Linked DNA regions of Ovis aries. Each later gene encodes a partner of the first gene's protein in a complex. Links are inferred from orthologs where the notes say so. Each region holds a gene or a part of one and is shown in the gene's direction. Other genes may lie near its edges.

Region 1 (4,984 bases):
GACAGACTGGAGAGATTACCTCCCCAGGTTACCAGCAGACACCTTCGTGGCCAGTGGCAAACACCCACCCGTTCCCACCCACCAGGACCCATTATCTGTGAGTGTGGGTCTGGGGGAAGCCTGGGTAGAGGTGTGGTAGGAGGGGGCTCTCTAGGTCTCTGGTAAGGTAAAGGAGGAGCTGCCTGGACCACATGCCTTCTCTAGTCTTTCAGGGGATTGGCTGTGGGCACTGAAATGGACAGTGACAGCCAGAAGCACAGGGGGCCAAGGAAATCAGGCTGCAAGCAAAAAAAGACTCCCTCGGCAGAGCCGCTCCCTGGGTTCTTGGTCCCGACTTCTGATGGCTTTCTAAAGGGTTGAGGGTCAGGCTGGGTCTTAAGGATCTAACCCGGAATAAAAATTTCCAACAAATTCCCCAGGGCCCTGTCCTGCCCTCACCTGGGTACGGACAGTGCAGCCCCGGGAGGCATAAACTTGACCCGTCTGGTCTCAAAGCCCCTGGGGCGCTTCCTCCCGGAGGCGGGGAGAAGGGTGTGGCCTCTGGGGCGTGGGCGGGGCCAGTGCTCCCAGCCTGGGGACTCGCAGGGTTCGCCCCTCCTGTTTCCTGTCCCTCCTTCACCCCAGCTCCCTCCACACCACCCTTTCTGGGGCTCCCTCACGGCCCCACCCCTACCCCTGCTTACTTTGGGGTCCAGAGATTGGCCCTACCATACCCAGCGCCCCAGCTCCTGCGGGTCCCCCGCCCCCACCCCCAGCCCATTCCAAAGCCGTCAGGTCGCGCTGGCCTCCGCCTCGCCACCCATCCGTCCACCCCAGTTCCTTGCCTGCCCCCACGCTTCCCTTCCCGTTCTCACGAGCCTGGCCCACCTCCCTCTCTCCGAAATTTCCCCTACTGCCTCGACTTTGTCACAGAGAGACAAAGACTCACATAGCCCGAAATAGACACCCCGAGCGGGGAGACACAGACCGTGTCCAGCCACACACGCACCCGCGCCCGCCCGCGCGCGCGCGCGTACCGGAGGCTGCGGTGGAGGGAGGCACACAGAGGAGGCATTTATCTGTGCACGCACGTAAACATCCACACCCACGGCCGCCGGCCGTGCCCACACCAGGGTGCAGACACACTCAGCGGTGAGACAAGGGCGCACACATCTATGGACTGCAGGGCACACCGCCTCCGGGGCACACCCACCACGGCCGCCCGGTGCCGGAGAAAGGCCTCCTCCGGGCTCGACTCCCGCCCCCCGCCACCACCACCCCCTCCACCCACCCCGGATTCCTTCCCAGCGAAATGTTTCCCTACTTGGCCTGCCAGGTCTCTGGGGAAAAGGGCCTCAGAAATGCGGCAGGAGCCACTTGGGGGCAAAGTTGGAACGGCCTGTTCCCGGCCTGTTCCCTGCCGGCGAATTCCCTAAGCGAAAAACTATTTGCGGCGAGAGAGGCCGGGTGGCCGGCGAGCCCCCCGGCCGCCTCCCCTCGCGTCCCCTCCCCGCGCCGCCGCCGCTGCCGCCGCCTCCCCGCGGCCCTCGGGCGGCCTCGGGCAGGCGGCGCCGCTGCCCAGCGGCCCGGAGCCGCGCTGGCCGGCGAGCCTCGCCGCTTATCTGCGCTGTTTGGGCCCGGCGAAGCTTGGGAAAGGCAGGCTTCTCCGTCCCCGCCGAGTCAACAGGCGGACCCCGGGCCGCCGGACTATTTCTGTCTTATCAGTGCAGGAATGCGGCAGCCGCGGCGGCTGGCGGGCGGCGGCGGCGGCGGCGGCGTGGGCCGTGGGCCGTCAGGGCAGCCCTGAAGGGGCCCCCTCCCCACTCCGCTCGAGTAGAAGTGTGAGAGAGCCCAGCAGGACTCAGAGGGGAGAGTTGGAGGAAAAAAAAAAAAAAAAGGCAGAAAAGGGAAAGAAAGAGCAAGAGAGAGAGAGAGAGAGTGAGAGGCGCCGCTGAGCCCACCCCGATGGCCGCGGACGAAGTTGCCGGAGGGGCGCGCAAAGCCACGAAAAGCAAACTTTTTGAGTTTCTGGTCCATGGGGTGGTGAGTGGGGGAAAAGTTAGCGGGGGAGGGCGAGCGAGCTGGCTCGGGCTGAATGGAGGGAAGGTCGGGAGGGGCCGGGAGGGGGCTCCCGCTCCCCCCACACCCCACCCCACGCCTCTAGCGGGAGCGCCGCGGCCCAGCGGGCCCGGCCCCAGCCCCGTGCCGGCGCGCCCTGGGGGCGCCCGAACACGTCGTCAGGCGGCTTGGCCGGGGATGGGTGCCCCGGGGCGGGGAAGGCAGGCGTTTGCATGGGTTCCTGTCAGGGGCTTGGGGGTAGAACTTGGGGACGGTCTCCCCCAAAGTGGGTGGGTGGGTCCCCTGTGGGGACAACCCGATGGGTTGTCTTCCCTTCTTTCCCTGGTGGAGCCCAGGTGCGACCCCTGCCCTGGGAGTGGGGGGTGGGGGGACTTGGCATCGCTGCGCTGGGCTGCTTGTTCATCAGCTGGGACAGTGTCTCGGGAGCAAGGAGCAGGTGACCCTGGCGGCGCTGTGAGTGGGAAGCTCTGGGGCTGAACCACCTTTGCATCCTGGGCTGAGGGCTCCGGGGCTCTGCCCCTGGCCTCTGCCAATCAGGGCCAGAGAGAGGCCCTCTCTAGGGGCAGACCCCAGGTTAAGGGGTCTGAGGATCCTTTGGCAGCCTCCACCACCAGAAGCTGATGTCCTTAACACCTCAAAGGTGTGAAGGAAGAGCTGGAGTCAGGGACGGGAGGCCTGGAGACCAGAGGGGCAGGTTTAGAAGGCCCACTGGGAGCCTGAGTGAGCCCAGGGAGCCTGAGGGGGTGGGGACGGGTTGGAAGGGCTGTGGCATAGGAGAGGCAGAGGCTCCAGGACTTGGGACGGCCACTGGTGCTGAAGCCGGGCAGAAAGGAAGCAGTCGGGTTTACTATGGCCAAATTTGGTTGTGACCCCAAGGAAGACACGTTCTCAGTAAGAGAGGCCAGAGCCCCTAAAATGTTGGCCCTTTGGGCAGGTCACCCATCCCCGCTGGCCAGCACAGCCTTCTAGGGGCTCTGGAGGCCTCCCTCTTGGGGCCTCCTTAGCAGATCAGTGAGTACCACCAGCCTCATTAAATGGGAGAGCAGCTGATGAGGAAAGGGGCTTTCCCAAAGCAGCCTGTTCTCCAGGCCCATGGGTCCCTAGGCTAACTTCCAAGGGGTCCCCATGTTGGTTAGCCTCATGACCAGCCCTGATCTTGCTGCCTGGGGTGTCCCAATAAAAGGCCCATCTAGGAGTGAGAGAGTGTATACATGTGGATTTTTTTTTAAGTCAACTCACTGCTTCAGTTCTTGGGTGGCCTGAGCCCCACTCCCAGCGCCCTGTCTGTGCTGGCAGGGAGTGGCGGGCCTGGGCTCCATTATGGGCCACCACCCTGGAGGTGTGAGTGACAGGGTCAGGTGGGGTGGGGGAGGCAGACACATGGACAGGCAGGTCTCACTGCTGAGGCTGTGACAGGCAGAGACAGCTGGTTGGCTGGGGGTTAGGGTTAGACACGGCGCGGGCAGGAGGGACCCGGGGGAGGGGGGCAGTGCGAGGAGATTCACTAGGCTCAGGGGCAGGGCGCTTCCCTGTTCTGGGAGCAGCTGCACCCCTGGGGTGGAGTGGGTGGTGCTCAGATAGTATAACAGGGGCACAGGGTCTGTGACCGTGGCTCCCTGATCTCCTTCCTGCTCTCCTGGCCCCCGTCCACATCCTGGCCACCCTCCGCTTGACAGCCCCTTGGGCCCTCCCCAGCCTCTCTTCTGGAATGGGACAAGTGAGGTTTTACGAGTCTGTGGAACACTTCACTCGATGCACTGGGTTGTCATCTGTATCCCAGTTGAGCACCCGGGTAGCAGCAAGGGCGCACACCTGCCTCACCTGCCTCCCCGTGCCCCCTGGGAACCCAGACTTCTGACCTCACTGGGGTAGGGTGGGGAGTAGTTGTAGTCTGTAGGATGGGGCCATCTCTGGTGATTCAGGCAGACAGGAAGGGAGAGATAGATATAAGAGAAAATGTCCATCCTTTTGACCTACCCAAGCCCTCTGGACCACCCATCACCAGTCAAGCCTCATAGCCCCCCTCCCCTCAATGGGAGAATCCTGGTGAGGTCTGACCTCAGCCCCTCAAGCTGCTTCTAGCCCTACCTCCAAGCCTTCACCTTGAGAGTAAATTATGCAGGTGGGCTAATTCAGCCAAGCCCCTGACGGTAGAGGCTGGGAATCAGAGCAAGGGGGCAGGGATTGGGACGGAGGGGCAAAAGCAGGGCCCCAGAGAGGAAAGTGGGTTGAAGGCAGGGAAGGCAGGGAAGGCAGGACCCCCTGGAAATGGACTGGGAAGCAGGCAAACGGGAAGGCAGACGGCAGAAGTCCGGAGCAAGAGAGCCAGCCCTGAACTAAACGAAAGCAGCAGAGAGGGCACAAACCCCGGGCCCCTCAGGAAAGGGCCTTGCATGACCTTGGCTAGGTTGCCTCTCTCCTTGAGCCGCGGTTGCCTCATCCGTCAAGTGGGGATAGAAGGCCCTCAGTCTGTCTTGCAGAGGAGCGTGTGGATAGGAGCATCCTTTGAAAAGGTTGAAAGGCGCCATTAATATTCATCTTCGCGGCACCTTCCGCAAATCCGAGGCTGGCGATGCCCTGTGCAGTTAGTTGCCTGGCTTCAGTTAGCTTCCTGCAGCGAGACGCAAGCCACCACCACCCCCCCCCCCCCCCCCCCCCTCCGCCAAAGCCGCGCGGTTCCGGCGCCCCCGCCCCTCCCCACCCCTCCCAGCCCCATCGGCATCGCGCCGTCGGCAGCAGGGTCACGGGCCGGGGGGCTCGGGGTTCGGGGGGAGGCGTAGCTCCGCGCGCCTGGAGCCCGGAGCCCTGGTTCTGACCGCCGGGCGCCTGTGTCTGCTTCACGCCCCCCCGACCCCCCTCCCCAGCGCCCCGGGATGCCGTCTGGAGCCCGGATGCCCCACCAGGGGGCGCCCATGGGCCCCCCGGG
Region 2 (4,723 bases), on another chromosome or scaffold:
TGGAGACCATGTATTCTAATCTAAAGTGGTTTTGTGCCCGTGAAAGTTGTGAAGTTGTTGCCACTTAGAAGCCAGACCTCACTCTTGCTGTGGCACTCAGTTTAGGTTATCAGAGAGGATGGCGCAGAGGGGACACATTCCTGGTTCTAATCTGCTTCTGGCTCTTTCTGTTGGGGTGGGGGATTTGGGTAGGTACTAAATGGGGAAAACTGGGGTTGGGATTTGTGAGCTTTCAGCTTTTTATGGACATTATTTTAGCCCCTTATGAAAAAGGACCCTCAGACATTTTAAGCCAACAGATGCCTAAGAACCACCTTCTCCATCTGCTTCTGGTTGCCACTGGGGTGAGGGCGGGGGGAAGCCTTAAATTCTCTAAACTTCATTAGCACACATTATTTTTCAGTGGGAAGCATGTCTGGTTTTGATGAGATACCCATAAAGGTTATTAATTTCTGCCAGAACCCAAATGGAGGCATCGCCACAGAGAACTGCTGCGGTTGCAGACCACCTGGGAGACATTCAGAGGTCTCCAGTTGAATGGGAGTTGCTTAGTTCTAGAAAGTGGCCTGGAATTCAGAGGCAACTTAATTGGAGACTTCTCATCCTCCTTTGTCTTTTTGGAACCATGCAGGTGGCTGAAATTTAGGTACATCTGAGAAACACCATAATGTCTAAAGCTGTTCCAGAGCCATCTGCTCAGATCAGTGCAGAAAATAAAATGCCATGGTCAACCAAGCTTTGTTTTGAGCTTGCACCAGAAAAGGAAAAGAAACTGAGGCTAATGTTTCAGTTTTGAAAGTACAGCCATCCTGATTGTAGTGGTGCTGGGTGTGGGTCATGAAAAGCATCAGAATTCAGGCCTGTCTATTATCCCAACCTCTGCAAAGTAACTTTTGTGGTTTCTGAGTGTTCTGAAAGTCACTAGAAGACAAATGTAGCCCAATGTGGCAAGCCCCTGAAATGCCACAACCACTGAAACAGTTTTTGCCCAGCCATGGTTTTCCAGCAGGGGCCTATGTAAGCATGACCCTAGCATTAAATAATCTTTAAACATGTAGGTATTTAACAAGGAAAGATAAAGAAGTGGCCTGGGGAGAGGGGATACGGAGGGGATAGGTAAGTGGATAAAACTACTGTGTGGTCTGGAACTCTGAGAAGATGATTGTTTAACAGCAAGAGAGACTGATGTTATGATCTATTGCAAGTTCCAAAGTTTTCTTTAGTTGTGTGAGCAACTGGGGAGAGATGAGGTGTTGTGGTGTTTTTGTAATCTGTTTTTCTTATTGGTCCGGTTACTAGTGTTTCACAGTCTGTCAACCCATATGGATGAATGGAGCTAGCATCATAAAACTGTCACTGAAGGAAGGTTTTTGAAGCCTGTGATTTGCATCAGAGTTTTAAAAGCAGTGGCTAGGAGGTGTTTGGGTCAGGGGAGGGGAGAAGAGGAGCAACCTATGCTGGAAATGTCTAGGTTGTGTGTTTGTGAATAGTAGTAGTAGGTGGGGGGTTACAAGGAAAGCAGGCTAAGATTTAGGGGGCTGTGTTTGAAAGCAGGGAGGGGCAGGAGCTCCTAATAATAGGGTTCAAATAGCCCACGTTGAGACCTTCACCTCCAGGACTTAGTTCTGAGTCCAAGGAACAATGATGATACGTGTCTAATCCCCCTTTGCACCCTCTCCTCCCTCCTCGAGTCCAGAGCTTGCTGTCATCTTAGGTTGCTATGAAATGAGTGAGTTTTTCTCATTGTTGAATATTCACTTCAAAAATCTGCTGTGGTATTAACTTCAACTGGAAGCTCCACCAGAAAAGGTTTTTCAGTTCTCAAACTTTCACCAGTCATCCCTATGTCCTTATGTCAAACTCCATCCCTCTTATACTTTCTCACCAGTGACTATGCTTTTGTAGCTTCAGAAGTAAAAGCTTCAGGGAGAGGATCCCGGAGATTTGAGCTCAGTTTTCAGCCCTACTGCTCACCAGCTATGAGACCTTAGACCCAGAACTTCTCTGAGCCACATATTCCTTGTCTTAAAGGTGAGGGTGATGCACCTTGATTGCCAAATTCCTTTCCAGTAAAAAACTGGGGCCTCTTGACTATGGTGGATTAGGAAGGATGAGGAGGACAGTTAGGGACCAGTGTTTGAATTCCTCCTCATTTTTTAAGTGTGGCTCTAAAAGGGAGTTAAGACTGGTAGGCTCTCCTGTAGTTTCATCTTCTCTGGTTCCTGTCTTGCCACCTTCTGTTGCCACTGGGCTCTGATCTCTCTCTTCTCAGCGCCCAAGGCTGAGGGCCAGGTGGTGGCCCACTGAGAACGTGGTCTTTTCTTCTGATGCTCCCTTTTGAACACTTTTCTCCTCATTAACACTCCAACCAGGGGATGAAGACGGGAAAGAGAAATGAGAAGATTAATTGGCCTATTTTTTTCTGTTTACAAGCACTCAGATTATGTTTTTGGTTGTGCAAAAGACTAGAATTATTGAGAACATCTCTCTTTTTCTTCCTGTTTTGTGTAAATGTATGGTGGAAGAAAGGGAACCGAGCAAAAGATTTTCTTCTCTGGATTTCATTTATCTACAGTCTCCTTCAATCTACTGTTCTTCTAACATGGCACCCATCCCAGTTAACATGGAAATAAATGCTTACTTCATTTCCATTTGGGCAGTTGCAAATGCCCTACCATTCAGTGAACTGCAGTGGGTGGGCCTGTACTGATGTCTCAGTGAGCTTCCTCTGTTGCACCCCGTGATGCTGCTGAGGAAATGGAGGTGTTCAGTAGACACAGAGTCTGGCCTTACGCAGGTGAGTATTAGCAGTGTCTAAAGTGGAATTCACTGCCTCTCATTCAGTGATATGCCTCCAGAACATGCCAGATTCCTCTGGAGGCATTATTATCAGGCTTTCCTTTGGTTGACAGCTAGCTCCCTTGGCAATTTTCTACATGTCTAAAGGAGGAAGAGGGGGTTGTTAAAACCATCAGAACATTCACAGAAGCCTGAATTGTGAGAATTAGGCAAAATGAAAGAAAAAACAAAATGGTCTCCTTGACCTCCAGCCTACAGAGGCAGTCCCTTAAATTTTTTTGTACTTGTGGTAAGATGTATCAATACATAACATGTATATTTAGCATGTATGACATGTAGACATACCATTTTAGCCTTTTTTAAAGTGTTCAGTTCACTGGCATTAAGTACATTCATAGTGTTGTATAACTACCAGAATATTCTGTATTCATTTCCAGAATTTAAAAAGTCATCCTAAACACACTCTATATCCATTAAACAATAACATCCTCTGTTTTAATGAGGACATCCTCCTCCCACCCCATCCCAGTGTGGTAACCACCATTGTACTTTCTGTCTGTATGAATTTGCCTGTTCTAAGCACCTCATATGAGTGGAATCATACAATATCTGTCCTTTCGTGACTGGCTTATTGCACTTAGTATAGTGTTCTTAATGCTCATCTGTGTTACAGCATGTGTCAGGACTTCCTTCCTTTTTATGGCTGAGTAATAGTCCACTGTATATATATGCCTTATTTTGCTTATCCATGCATCCAGGGATGGGTCCTGGGGTTGTTTCCACCTTGTGGCGATTGTGAATAGTACTGCTATGAACATGGGTGTGTAAGTAGCTGTTTGAATCCCTGCTCTCAGTTCTTTGGGGTATATGCCTAGACCCCCCCTTCATTTTTAGACTCACTAAGATTCATGGAGTACATTTCTAGATAGTATAGGCAACTCCTTTCTTCTAAACTTAAAAAAAATACTCATGGCATCATAGAATTCAACCTCTTTACCTGCCTCCCACTTTAGGACTACCACTATTTTGGGGGTGGAGGATAAATGCCCCAGGAACTCAGAGACTCACTTCTTTTATCCCCAGCCAGAGGATTGCCTTCATCTTGTCACCACCCCCCCACCCCCAACCCGTTGAGGGCAGGGACTCCCTTGGGGTCAGGGTCTGGATATGGGGAGGCCCCAGAGGCTGCAGCACTAGTTGTCACCTGGTGGGGCTGGAGCGAAGGTTTCCCAGGCAGTGGAGGTCTCATCAGGCAGCAGGTGTTCCTGCTGGAAACACCTGGGATGACAGGACAGCTTGAAGGTCAGGAGGTAGTAAATCTGACCTATCTTTTCATAAGGGGAGAAGGGCATGCATCTCATTTGGCCTCCCTTCCCTGCGCTAAGCCCTGCTTACCACCCCCTGAAGGGCCCAAATGAAACAATGGATGTGAAAACACTTCAGAAAGTGTAAAGTACAAATGGGAGGTGTTACTAGAGCTGCCAAGTGCCCCCCACCCCTGCCCCGTAGCTAACCTGGGGGGAGGGAGGGGGGCGCTTCTCAGAGAGTCAACAATATCGCAAGTATCAAACATCACTTTATTATATTAAAACCAAAATTAATGAAAAGATCCTGGCATTCCACATCCTGTCTAACCATTGTTTCTCAGGAAATGCAAAGCTTCACTCATCCAGCTGTGTGTAAATAGCCCTGGAATCTCAGTGGGGTTTTCCCATCTTCCGGGTTTGAAATAGGTGAGAATAGGAGCTCAAGGGAAGCCTTCGTTTCATTTTCCATTGTCAACCCCATACTGAGTCCATCCTCAATCAGAGGAAACAGAAGCTGGCGGGCAGAGGGAGCATTCTCCTGGAACTTGGGCTCTGGTCATCCAGCAGTCTCTGGCTCCTTCTACCAAGAAGACTCCAGGGAGAGAGAAGGGGAGAAG
Region 3 (4,911 bases), on another chromosome or scaffold:
TGCATGCGCAGCATCCCAGCAAAATCCTAAATTTCACCTAAGTTTGAGGACTCTCGCACGCACCAAGGTCGATGTGATCAACTTTTCAAGTGAAAGCAAGCTGAGGATGCCTTTGGCAAGGACACGTTCCCTGGCAGGTGGTTCAGGAGCACCGGAGAGATCGAGGCCGCGAGCAGAGAACAAAGGGGGACGGCAGGCAGCGACCGGGAACCGGGGACGCGAGGAAACGAGCCGGGGCCCTCAGAGGCCCCCGCGACGCAGCCCCCAGGGTAGGGAGAGGGTGCCGGGGAGACCCCCGGGAAGGTGGAGGAGGGGGCGGGGCGCCGAGGACCCCGGGAGGGAGAGGCGGCGGAGGGGAGAGGGGGAGGGACCCTGCAGGGAGGGCGAGGGGGCGGGCCCCTTGGGAAGGAGGTGGGAGGGAAGGGCGGCGAGGACCGCCGGGTCAGGGCACGCGGGCGCGGGTGCCGGGGCGGGGACCCCAGGAGGGAGGGGGAGGGGCGGGGCCCCCCAGGAGGGAGAGCGGGCACGCGGGCGCGGACATCGGGGAGGGAGGGGGCGGGGAGGGGCACCTGGGATGGAGGGGGAGGGGGAGGGGCCCCTCAGGATGGAGGGGGAGGGGGGACCCCCAGGAGGGAGAGAGGGGACGGGGGCGCGGACACCGGGGAGGGAGGGGGCGGGGAGGGGCACCTGGGATGGAGGGGGAGGGGGAGGGGCCCCTCAGGATGGAGGGGGAGGGGGGACCCCCAGGAGGGGACAGGGCACGCGGGCGCGGACACCGGGGAGGGAGGGACACCTGGGATGGAGGGGGAGGGGGAGGGGCCCCTCAGGATGGAGGGGGAGGGGCGGGGACCCCCAGGAGGGAGAGAGGGGACGGGGGCGCGGACACCGGGGAGGGAGGGCGCGGGGAGGGGCACCTGGGATGGAGGGGGAGGCGGAGGGGGAGGGGCGGGGCCCCCCAGGAGGGGACAGGGCACGCGGGCGCGGACCCCGGAGGCGGAGGGACACCTGGGATGGAGGGGTGGGGGCGGCGGGGACGCGGGCGCGGACGCCGGGGAGCGAGGGGCGGGGCGGCGCCCCCCGGGCTGGCGGCGCAGGGGAGAGGCGGGGAGCGCGGGCGCGGCGCGGTGGGAGGAGAGGGCTGACGTGCGAGGGGCCGGGCCGGGGGCGGCGGGGAGGGGGCGGCGGCGGCGGCGAGCGCGCCCTGGGCGGCGGGCCGGGGCGGGGCTGGGGGCCGGGGGGAGCGGCGGGAGGTGGGGCCGCGGAGCGCGCCGGGCTGCTGCGGCGGCGGCGGCGGCGGCGGCGGCCGGGAGGCGGGGTGGCGGCGGGCCGGGGCTGCGTGCGGCCGAGGGCGGCGGCCGGGGGGCGGCGGCGGCGGCGAGCGCGGCGGGCGGCGGCGGCCGAGGGCGCGGAGGGCCCCGCGGGCGCGCACGGCGGCGGGCCCGGCGGGCGGCGGGCGGCGGGCGGCGGGCCCGGCGGCGGCGGGCGGCGCGCTGGCGGCGGCCATGGCGGTGGCGGCGGCGCTGGCGGGCCGCGGGGCGCGCGGAGGCAGGGGCCGGCCCCCGGGCGGCGGGCGGGCGGAGGGGGCGGGGCCCGGGCGGCGGGCGGCCCGCGCGGCGGTGGCGGCGGCGGCGGCGGCGGCGGCGGCCGGGACGAGGCGGCGGCGGCGGCGGCGGCGGCGGCGCGGGGCGCTCGGGCTGATGGCGGCGGCGGGCGGCCCCGGGACGGCGCTGTCTCCGCGGCCGTGCGACAGCGACCCGGCCTCCCCCGGAGCGCAGTCCCCGAAGGTGAGCCGCGGGCCGGGGCTGGGCCGGGGCTGGGCCGGGGGGGCCCCCGGGGGGCGGCCGTGGGGAGGCCCGAGGGGCGGCGGGGCCGGGCGCGGCCGCGGGCTCCGCTGGGCCTCGGGCCCGAGAGTTCTCGGCGGTTTCCGCCCGCAGGCGCCCGGGGCGCGTCCGCCCGGGCAGCGCGCTCTCGCCAGAAGTGAAAGTTGGCGCCGGCGCCGCGGGCCGTCCCGCCGCGGGCCTGGGCCCCCGCGCGCCCCGCGGAGCGCCGCTGGCTGGAGCCGGGACGCGGGGAGGGGACGGGGCGAGCCGGCGGGGGCTGCGCGGGCGGCGCCGGAGCCGCGGAGAGCCGCCCCGCGCTCTAGGCCGCGCTCGGCCCGCCGTGGGCGCGCTTCCAGGGGAGCGGGGCGGCCTCGGTGCGTGGAGGTCGGCGGCGCGGGGAGAGTCCGGGCGAGCGTTCAGGCAGCGCGGCTGTGCTCGGCCAGCCCACCCGCTTGTGACAGAGCGACCTACACGCCCGCGCTCGAGTTGAGACCGGAAGGCTGGCGCTGGACGGCGACGGGGCCGCCCGGGTGCGGGGCGCCTGCGGGGCCGCCCGGCCCTCCTCGCGGGCGGCGCGCCGGGGCCCCGCTGGGCCGGGCTTCCGGAGCCCAGGCCGGGCCCGAGGGCGGCGCCGCCGGAGCCCAGGCCCGCCCGGGGGGCTCGCCCCGCGCCCGGCCCTGCCGCCGTGGCGGCGCTGCCCTCGCTCGCTCGGTCGTGCGGGACCCTTTGCGACCCCACGACTGCGGCGCGCAGGCTTCCCGCTCCTTCACCCGCTCCCCGAGTTTGCTCGCAGTCCTGTCCGCTGACCTTCAGAAATGGGTTCAGTCCCAAGGTGAGAGCCACCCAGCACTCTGAGACACACGTTGCTGACCTCAGAGGTGGGAAGCCTTAAAACCCGGACTCCTCTGTCAACAGCCAGGTTGCAGGCGAATTCTTTTAATCGTATTCCATCATACGTTAGGAAATACGTTGCTGTTACCCCTCTCTGATGTTCACTGTATGGACTAACACGTTTGCCTAGAATTCACGATAGCAGATTCAGGCACTGCATGTGAAATTGTGCTTTCAGCGTTTTTGAGGACTTCCATTTTTAATTAACACTTTTTAAGTGTATACAATTTTTTTAGCTAAGGGAAAGGTATTTAAACAAATGGACATAAAAATCCTTAAAGTGCTCAAAAGCAAGTGAAATAGAAGAGAAATGATACTTGAATGCTTGTTGACTATGAAATGTTTCAGTTGGGAGACACTGTTAAATGTCAGTTTTTGGAGAAAGTAGATTTAGGCTGTTCTCCATCTCCTACCTGGTTGCTTATCTTCATAGGAGTATACAGAACTTTTCAACTGAATACTTATTTTCTAAGGACTGAAAAGGAGAATATTCCACGGTTTTTGCTATTTGGTAAAGAATCTGAGTAAATTCCTAACAGGGAGCCTTTTGAGACTTGATCATCAGTGCAGTCAAGTTCTCCTGGGCACTTAACTGTTTGCAAGACCTTGCTCTAATTATTTCACGTATTAACTCTAATCCCTACACTGGCCAAGTAATAGGCAGTACTGTTCTCACAGATAAGGAGGATAACCACGCAGCTGGTGAGGGGCAGTCAGTGGCCAGTAAGATTCCAGGCGGTCCAGCTTTGATGTGCCTGACCCAACATACTCACTACCTCTGTATTCTTGGATTCATGATATTTAACAAACTTGTGTTGTCTTAGGAGGCTAGACTGGAGAAGGCAGTGGCACCCCACTCCAGTACTCTTGCCTGGAGAATCCCATGGACAGAGGAGCCTGGTGGGCTGCAGTCCATGGGGTCGATAGGAATTGGGCACCACTGATCGACTTCACTTTCACTTTTCACTTTGATGCATTAGAGAAGGAAATGGCAACCCACTCCAGTGTTCTTGCCTGGAGAATCCCAGGGACAGAGGATCCTAGTGGGCTGCCGTCTATGGGGTCGCACAGAGTCGGACATGACTGAAGCTCCTTAGCAGTAGCAGCAGCAGGAGGCTAGAATACCATGAATTTTTTTTGTTTTTAATCTTTAATTAGTTTAAGCCTTGGCTGATGTGTGGTCGGGCTTCGCAGGTGGCTCAGTGGTAGAGAACCGGGCTGCCAAGGCAGGAGACGGGACCCATTCCAGGATTCTTGCCTGGGAAATCCCAGGGACCGAGGAACCTGGGGGACTATAGTCTATGGGGTTACGAAAGAGTCTGATAAACACAGATTTACCCGCTTTTGCCTGAGGGGCGACAACAGCGCATTCAATTTCCTGATACTGGACCCATCATTCATTTCCTTAATGTAAATGGTCTAACTTACAGCCTTGATAAAGCCGCACAATGGAAAATGTCACTTTAAAACTTTTTAAACGTCTTCTTTTGGGGAGGTAGTGTGTGTTGCATTGGTCGATGACTCTTATTCTGGTATATTTTTGCTGAATCTTTGCAAATATAAGAAAGATGACGATTGGTCGTCTGTTCGTGTTCCTTTGTGTCCTGTTCACAGGGATATAAGTGTCCGAAGTAGCCAAGGAGAATAAGCCAGCTCTGAGTTGAGTTAAACAGTAACTGATCCCACACGTTTTCGTCCTAGCTAGAGCAGGAGTGTTCATTTTAATCTCAGAGTGCTGTAGCAGTTTGGTGTGTTTCTTCAAAGCAGAAGCACTTTAACCTCTTGGTAAGAAAGGAAAAGTAGATTTAAACCTACAAGACAATTGAAAATTTACTACTTTGATTTGGATTGGAGATTAGTTTTTGGTTTTTTCCAGGTCTTGCCAAGGCCAAATTCTTGTCCCTGGTTAATTATAATAGGAAGTTATCATTTGTATAATCTTTAGGAAGCCTTTAAGTTGAGCCTTTTAGCAAGTTTGGGAGGATTACGTAATCTCCCCTTATTTACTGTTTTTTGTCCTGTTATTTTTTGCATCTTTTGAATGTATAGGATGACAATGAAGATAATTCAAATGATGGGACCCAGCCGTCCAAAAGGAGGCGAATGGGCTCTGGAGACAGCTCCAGGAGCTGCGACACTTCCAGCCAGGACCTTGGGTATTGCCATTTTATTGTTTAATGCTTTCTGTGCCATGTGTTTT

What was found. Proteins that work in one complex are often made in the same cells at the same time.
Region 2: SMARCD3 (region 1) and DPF3 share a complex: the UniProt entries of both Homo sapiens proteins name them as parts of the BAF complex. The link is inferred for Ovis aries from reciprocal best matches to the Homo sapiens genes SMARCD3 and DPF3.
Region 3: SMARCD3 (region 1) and PHF10 share a complex: the UniProt entries of both Homo sapiens proteins name them as parts of the neural progenitors-specific chromatin remodeling complex. The link is inferred for Ovis aries from reciprocal best matches to the Homo sapiens genes SMARCD3 and PHF10.

Annotation. Positions count from the first base shown.
Region 1 is NC_056057.1:115,437,773-115,442,756, reverse strand, and holds the start of SMARCD3 (SWI/SNF-related matrix-associated actin-dependent regulator of chromatin subfamily D member 3), read left to right. Parts: upstream 1-1,814; 5' UTR 1,815-1,944; coding exon 1,945-2,022; intron 2,023-4,922; coding exon 4,923-4,984. UniProt on the Homo sapiens protein: Involved in transcriptional activation and repression of select genes by chromatin remodeling (alteration of DNA-nucleosome topology).
Region 2 is NC_056060.1:82,481,425-82,486,147, reverse strand, and holds the start of DPF3 (zinc finger protein DPF3), read left to right. Parts: upstream 1-1,481; 5' UTR 1,482-4,723. UniProt on the Homo sapiens protein: Belongs to the neuron-specific chromatin remodeling complex (nBAF complex).
Region 3 is NC_056061.1:91,185,449-91,190,359, reverse strand, and holds the start of PHF10 (PHD finger protein 10), read left to right. Parts: upstream 1-1,669; 5' UTR 1,670-1,697; coding exon 1,698-1,784; intron 1,785-4,760; coding exon 4,761-4,867; intron 4,868-4,911. UniProt on the Homo sapiens protein: Involved in transcription activity regulation by chromatin remodeling. Belongs to the neural progenitors-specific chromatin remodeling complex (npBAF complex) and is required for the proliferation of neural progenitors.